Oryctolagus cuniculus: one gene and its partner. The protein of the gene in region 2 interacts with the protein of the main gene of each other region in a pairwise test. Links are inferred from orthologs where the notes say so. Each region holds a gene or a part of one and is shown on either strand. Other genes may lie near its edges. The genes, in order: PRTFDC1 and MCMBP.

The links.
Region 1: the proteins of MCMBP (region 2) and PRTFDC1 interact in binary tests that used the Homo sapiens proteins (3 or more experiments, as listed by UniProt). The two-hybrid records come from large-scale screens. The link is inferred for Oryctolagus cuniculus from reciprocal best matches to the Homo sapiens genes MCMBP and PRTFDC1.

What each region holds. Positions count from the first base shown.
Region 1 is NC_091444.1:104,725,889-104,729,700, reverse strand, and holds part of PRTFDC1 (phosphoribosyltransferase domain-containing protein 1), read right to left. Parts: intron 2,570-3,812; coding exon 2,463-2,569; intron 1-2,462. UniProt on the Homo sapiens protein: Has low, barely detectable phosphoribosyltransferase activity (in vitro). Binds GMP, IMP and alpha-D-5-phosphoribosyl 1-pyrophosphate (PRPP). Is not expected to contribute to purine metabolism or GMP salvage.
Region 2 is NC_091446.1:10,866,628-10,870,439, forward strand, and holds part of MCMBP (mini-chromosome maintenance complex-binding protein), read left to right. Parts: intron 1-349; coding exon 350-522; intron 523-1,176; coding exon 1,177-1,300; intron 1,301-3,028; coding exon 3,029-3,146; intron 3,147-3,812. UniProt on the Homo sapiens protein: Associated component of the MCM complex that acts as a regulator of DNA replication.

The DNA of each region.
Region 1 (3,812 bases), on a different chromosome or scaffold from region 2:
TTTCAAATAAATAACTTTTTTAAAAAAAAAAAAGTTGGTTTAATTGTCAAAGATAAGCAGGTGTCTCTGTTTCGTATTTTTGCCAAAATTTCTGTATCTCTGATACACTCACATGTGTTTTGACAATGGGGAGAGTTGGCAGCTTGGGAAATGTACAGTTTCTCAGGTTTATTTGGTCAGGGACCTTTTCTCCCTCTGAGGATCAGACCTGCTTTAGCAATCTATGGGAAACCACCCTAGGCCAAGAAAAACCCCAAACCACAGCTTATCGTGTATTATACTGTAAGTCAGGAGAGGAAACATCACGCCTGTGGAAGTTCCATCCAATGGCAAATCTCAGAATTTGGGGGAATGAAATTCCTCTTGGCTTCCCGACAGACTGATAGGATGGTATTAACACAAGTACACGGGCCAGCGCCGCGGCTCACTAGGCTAATCCTCCGCCTTGCGGCACCGGCACACCAGGTTCTAGTCCCGGTCGGGGTGCCGGATTCTGTCCCGGTTGCCCCTCTTCCAGGCCAGCTCTCTGCTGTGGCCAGGGAGTGCAGTGGAGGATGGCCCAAGTGCTTGGGCCCTGCACCCCATGGGAGACCAGGAGAAGTACCTGGCTCCTGCCATCAGATCAGCGCGGCGGCCATTGGAGGGTGAACCAACGACGAAGGAAGACCTTTCTCTCTGTCTCTCTCACTGTCCACTCTGCCTGTCAAACACACACACACACACACACACACACACAAGTACACGGACAAACTATGCAGGGCGGCCGCTGGGTGTAGTGGTTAGGACCCCACTCGTGATGTCCATATCCCATGTATCACAGTGCCCGAGTTCAAGTCCAGGCTCTACTCCCGATTCCAGCTTCCTGCCAAGTGCACCCCGGGAAGCACAGCTGGAGCTCAAGCACTTGGGCCCCTGCCACACACAGATGGAGTCCCAGGCCTCTGGCTTCGGTCTGGCCCAGCCCTGGCTGCTGCAGCCATTTGGGGAGTGAACCAGTGAATGGAAGACCTCTCTGTCTCTCCTTTTGTCTTTCTGCCTCTCGAGTACAACAAGTAAACAAAAAACTATGCAAGAAATTCAAAATTCTTTTGCACCAAAATAAATTTAATCTTTCAACTTCCACTCTTCCATGAACTTTCTGAAGCTCCCTCCTATCCTAGGAACCATGACCGTTGAATGCTTTTTAACTTTTCTTTGGCTTTGAGGAGCTATTTATTAAAGTTAGAGCTGAATTCAGAAAGCTTTTTTATTTTTTTAACAGATCAAAAATATATAAAAGCAGAGATACTATGGTGTAAGCAAAGGGTTGCAGTGAGAAGTCAAACTTCTCCCTATTGCTGACTTCACCCCAAATTCTGGTCCCCCGAAGAATCCGCAGGGTTCCAGAGAGTTTCCCCTGAAAAGCAGGATGCTTGTTCACCACTGACATGTGCAGGTCACGGCCAGCACGTGGCCTCCCAGGTTAAGCTGCCACCTGCAGTGCTAGCACAGGCGCTGGTTCGAGTCCCGTCTGCTCCACTTTCAATTCAGCTCCCTGCTAATGCTCCTGGGAAAGCAGTAGAAGATGGCCCAAGTGCTTGGGCCCCTGCACCCATGTGGGAGACCCAGATGAAGCTCTGGGCTCCTGGCTTTGGCCTGGCTCAGCTCAGGCTCTTATGGCCATTTGGTGAGTGAACCAGTGGACAGAACACCTCTTTCTCCATCTCTCCCTCTCTATATAAATCTTTCAGAAATAAAGAAACCTGCAGGACTCTGTACTTGACCTTCGCACCAGAAATCTGAGGCCCACAGAAAGCAACTCAAGTTCTTGGTGCTGATGCAGGCTTGTTAAGGATCTGACCTATTAATCATTGGTGTGGTAGGACTGAACAGGAGGAGCTAAGTGGGGGTGACACAGCACAGGAGAGAAAATGTTGGTTTCAGGACAGGCCATCAGCAAGGAAGAAGCCAGAGGGTAGGGATGTAGACACATCAGGAAAAAAAAAAGATTCTGTTCTAGAACTCGTTCTCAGTATATATTTTAAGCTGCAAATACTACTATTCCCACCAGTGGTTAGAAAACGCCGCTCTCCGCACACCAGCCCACCTGGGATGCATGGTTTGGCGCAAGAGAGATCAGCATTGCAGAAAAATCCAGGGGTTCAGGGGGTACCCTAGGAAGTGAAGATTTCCTCCTGTTCCTCCCTGGTTAACTGGGACACAAACCCACGCTTTCCTGGCATGATCATCTGTAGGGGACCCTGTAGTCTCCAGACTGTGACAGAACAGCGACACACACACACACATAGCCTTTGAACATCCCGCCTGAACACACACGCAGGTAAACCACTCGGCACACGCCCAGACTCAGTCCGTCCCCAATTTGCTGTCCGACACCACTTCTCTCTGCCACCGTGAAAAGGGACTCGGGCGTCTCACACGATTCACGCACGTGGGCGGGCCAGCCCAGCTCACTCACTCACCTGTCCACGATGATGCCATGCGGTATGAGCACATACTCCAGGTCGCCGGAATAGTGCTGCGGGTACGTGAACAAGTTCAAGTCGTAGCCAGGCCAATCGTCCTTAATCTGCAAGAAGCGAATCATTTCAGTGAGGGTGTTCTGCACTGGGAATTCATCTCGAATCAAACAACGGAAAGGATATCATTTGGAACACAGACAACTGAACACAGGGAATTAGACCCTCTCTCTCCCCCAAGGAAGGGCTCCCTGGGGCCAGGCTGCTTGTCTGCTACAGCCTGATATTTGTTTATGACAACAGATACTTACAATGACCTAATACAGGACTTGGCATTGAAGGAAAGACAGCACTTCACTCCTGAGTCTTGACAGTGTAGTTAAGAATATAAACTCAGAGTCTCATGGCAAACCTGCCAGGACTATTTATATAAGTAAACATGGGATTTATATATAAAATTGTCACAAATATACCACCATAAAGAGTAACTATATACTATGTAGCAGATCATCATGTTACATTAATATATGCATTTTTATATAGGCTATTACATTTCTGCTGGCTCTAAGTAACTCATCTGCCTGAAAAAGATTATCAATTAAAAGTGCATCATTGGGGCAGCGCTGTGGTATAGTGGGTAGAGCTCCTATCTGCAGTGCCAGCACCCTATATGGGCACCGGTTCGAGTCCCAGATGCTCCACTTCTGATCCAGCTCTCTGCTGTGGCCTGGGAAAGCAGTAGACGATGGCCCAAGTCCTTGGGCCCCTGCATCAGTGTGGGAAGACCCAGAAGAAGCTCTTGGTTCCTGGCTTAGGATCGGCGCAGGTCTGGCTGTTGCGGCCATCTGGGGAGTGAACCAGTGGATGAAGACTTTTTTCTCTCTCTCTGCCTTTCAATTAAATAAATATTTTTTTAAACAAAAGTGCATTATCAGGGCCAGCACTGTGGCAGTGGGTTAAGCAGCCACCTGCGATGCCAGCATTCCATTCCAGCTTTCTGCTAACGCACACTTGGAGGCTGCAGCCGAGGACTCGAGTAGCTGGGCCCCGGCCATGCTTGTGGGAGACCTGGATTGAGCGCCTAGATGCCGGCTTCAGCCTGGCCCAGGCCCAGCTGTAGTAGGCACTGGGGAGTGAACCAGCACATGGGAGCTCTGTCTCTCTGCCATTCAAATAAATAACTTGATTTAAAAAAAATAACTTAATGAGACTGGAATGGCCCAGTAATTAAAGCGAAGGTATTGAAAGGCGTGTTCATGTGGGCACTTGAGCCAGGGCTACTGGGGAAGCGCTGGCCTAGCCTAGAAAACGGACCTGTTTGTAGCACGGACCGGGGGCAGCCGCTGCCCCGGC
Region 2 (3,812 bases):
GCCACGTAGTATTTGCCATCTCAGCTTGTAGTTCAAGAAAGAGTACGTTTGTTTTGAATTGTTGTGTGAGTGACATCCCACATTTCATTTAGTGCAGTGTTAGCACACTGAATAAAAATGTTGTTGTTCTTGAAGAATGAAGAAGTCCATTACATCATATGACTTAACTGCTCTAAAGCCTGTATGCTGTAACATTTTGAAAAAGAGGAGCCCATTTCTTTCCTTTAAGGTGACGCACATGTAAAAGTGCTCCTGGTGCGAATGCTCCTTTTGTCTTCGGAGATGCATTTCATTTTGGTGCCTCCACCGAGGCGGCCCCTGGGTACCGAGCCGAGTCATCTCTCCACAGGGATGCCTCTGCACAGCTGGACCCGATGGAGTGCACAGACGCGGCCGAAGAGCAGCGCGTGCACAGCCCGCCTGCCTCGCTGGTGCCCAGGATCCACGTGGTTTTAGCCCAGAAGTTGCAGCACATCAACCCTTTGCTGCCGACCTGCCTTAATAAAGAAGAGAGCAAAGCCTGTAAGTGCAGAAGCCTGGAGCCCCCAGGCGCCCCGGGTGCCCGAGCCCAGTGCTCCTGTGGAATTCGGAGCAGCTCCCCCTACCTTCATCAGGAAGTTTGCCCTACCAGGAATGGTTGCTGCTTTGCCCAGTTTTCCTCTTAGATTGATTCTCTTCTTTGTAATGGGACATGGGAAGCAAGAGCTTAAGTTGTTTTTATTTTTTTAAGATTTACTTACTTGAAAGTGTTACAGAGAGAGGAGAGGAGAGAGAGAAAGAAAAAGAGATCTTCCACTGCTGGTTCAATCCCCAAATGACTGCAGTGGCCGAGTCTGTGCCAGGCTGAAGCCAGAGGCCCTGAGCTTCTTCTGGGTCTCCCAATTGGGTCGCAGGGTCCCAAGGACCCAGGCCATCAGCAGGGAGCTGGATCGGAAGCAGAGCAGCCGGGACTTGGCTGGTGCCCATATAAGTTTCTGTCACTGCAGAAGGTAGCTTAACCCCTGCGCCACAGCTCCAGCCCTGAAAGAACCTAAGTTTGAAGACTGTCATTACTTCCCGAGCAGTAGTTAAGTCTACACTGGGAGTGTGTTTCATGCTGCTGCTTCCCTCCTCATTGCAAGGAACCGCAGCGGACTGGAGCATGTATTCTGAGTCTGATCTCTCTTCCTCCTCCAGTTGTCTCAAGTTTCATGTCTGAACTGTCTCCAGTCAGAGCAGAACTGCTTGGATTCCTCACTCACGCCCTCTTGGGAGATAGTCTGGCTGCGGAATACCTTATATTGCACCTCATCTCTACAGTGTAAGTGCCTGTTCCTGGGGTCCTTGGAGTTTGGTGGGGTGCAGAAAGTGGAAAAGAGCAGGACATTTCTGACTTTCGTGTCTTAGGCCTATTACCTTATAGTTTTTATTTGTTCATTGTGACGAGTGCCATACCAGGTAACAAACGCCTTTTCTCACAGTTCCATATTTTGATTATGTTCCCTTGAATTTTAGAGCCAGTAACAAATAAAGGACCTGTCTGAAGAGTAAAATAAGCTATTTTTTTATTGAAAAAAAAATTTAAGATTTATTTCTTTGAAAGGCAGAATTAGAGGGAAAGACAGAGAGAGAGATCTTCCATCCACTGGTTCACTGTCCAGATGGCTGCAAAGGCCAGGCCTGAACCATGCAGGTCTCCCATGTTGGTGGCATGGGCCCAAGTACTTGGGTCATCGTCCGCTCTTTCTCAGGCACCTTAGCAGGGAGCTGGCTTGGAAGTGGAGCAGCCAGGGCATGAACCGACGCCCATATGGGATGCTGGTGTTGCAGGCAGCTGTTTAACCCTGCTGTGACACAATGCTGGCCCCAAAATAAGCTGTCTTGTCTTTTTTACACTGGAAGTTCTGTTTATACATTTCAAGACTGTCTAAAAACAGTTGGTGGGGTACCTCATATGCCCATTTAACTTGGACAATGGCATTTGTGCATCTCACGTTTGCCTCCAGTATATTCCTTTGTTTTCTGATTTTGAAAGTAATATGCCCCTCCAGGAACATAAAGAAGAAAAAATGTGGGTCTTCAGAAGTCCATGGGAAAAAATGCATAAATGGGAAAACTGTCTCAATTTCTAAATACTTTTGCACTAGCTTGCCATTTTTCCGTGACCTTTCTGTAGCCCCCTTGCTGGAGTCACCTACCGATACAGTTCGTTCACTTGCAGGTGATCAGAGTTAGCGTGCTGGACCTGTGTTCATCTTGCTCTGTTTCCACCCGTGTACTGTGCGCCCCTCCGTAGACCTCAGTTACACGGGTGCACATCTTGCTTTCAGCATTTAACATACATTGAACGGTTTCCCATTGTAATTTTCTCTGAACTTCATGACAGCACAGGAGTTTAGTGTGCAGCTGTACCACAGTGTAACCCTTTCTCTAAATGGTGTCAGTGACACTGCTGTACCCTATGTGTGCTATAAATCTTACTTTTCCTGGAGGGCATCTGAGACCAGCTGTGGGTAGTGGGCGGGGTCACAGCCTCTGGTTCCAGACCGCCTGCCTGCAGTCCTCGCTGCTTCACTTCCCAGCAGATCGCGCATCCCTCATCTAAGAATCCTTACTGCTGAGCCCTCAGTGAGCCCGCACACGTGCTGCTCGCTGTTGGGTTTGGGCTGTCCAGGTGAGGGCTGTTCATCTGGCCATCTACGCAAGTATTCCAAAGTCTGAAAAAAATGGACAGGCACTGTTGGTTCCAAGTGTTTTGGATAAAGGGATATTCTGTACTTCAGAATCTCTGTGCCTCACACTTTCAATTGTAAAGCCAGGAGCACCCAACGCCAAATGTTGGGGTTAAATGAAAGCCCACTGACGCACTGGCCCAGCCCGGGTCCGGGCCCAGCACTTGTGTGAGTGCTGCCTGTTACCTTTATGGTTGTTATTCTGGTCTCTACAGTAGCTGGTCAGAGGAGTCTGCTTTGTTTTTATTCACAAGCTAATTTTTATCTGTTTTTTGAAGGAAACCGCTTCAGATTGGTCTATTTTTTATTTTTTCTAGATATACAAGAAGAGATGTTCTTCCTCTAGGAAAATTTACAGTTAACCTGAGTGGTTGCCCACGGAACAGCACCTTCACAGAACACTTATATCGAATTATTCAACATCTTGTTCCAGCGGTAAGACCAGTCAATATAAATATGTATTATAAACCTAAGCACACAGCAGGTCCATCTGACTATCTTTGATTCAACCCAAATATTTACCTTGCAAATTTTTTTTTTTTATTTACTGGGAGGCAGAGAAAGAAAGAGAGCTCCATCCTCTAATTCCCTCCCCAGAGTCCTGCAGCTGCTGGGACTGGGCCAGGCTGAAGGTGGGAAACAGGAACTCAGTCTGGGTTGTCTCCCACATCCGTGGCAGGGACCTGCCTGTCTGAGCAGTCACCACTGCTTCTCAGGGTCTGTTAGCAGGAAGCTGGACTCCAGCGCAGAGCCAGCACTTAAAGTCAGGTGCTCGGATTTGGGATACAGGCATCCCAATGGCATCTTAATTACTAGACCAAACACCAGCCCCTAACTTTTAGATTTTAACAAATTGATTTTGGAGCTGGTGCTGTGGTATAGTAGGTTAAGCCTCTGCCTGTGGCGCCGGCATCCCATATGGACACTTGTTCGAGTCCTGACTGCCCACTTCCAATCAGGCTCCCTGCTGATGGCCTGGGAAAGCAGTAGAAGATGGCCCAAATGTGTGGGCCCCTGCACCCACGTGGGAGACCTGGAAAAAACTGCTGCCTCCTGACTTTCAATTGGCCCAGCTCTGGCTGTTGCAGCCATTTGGGGAGT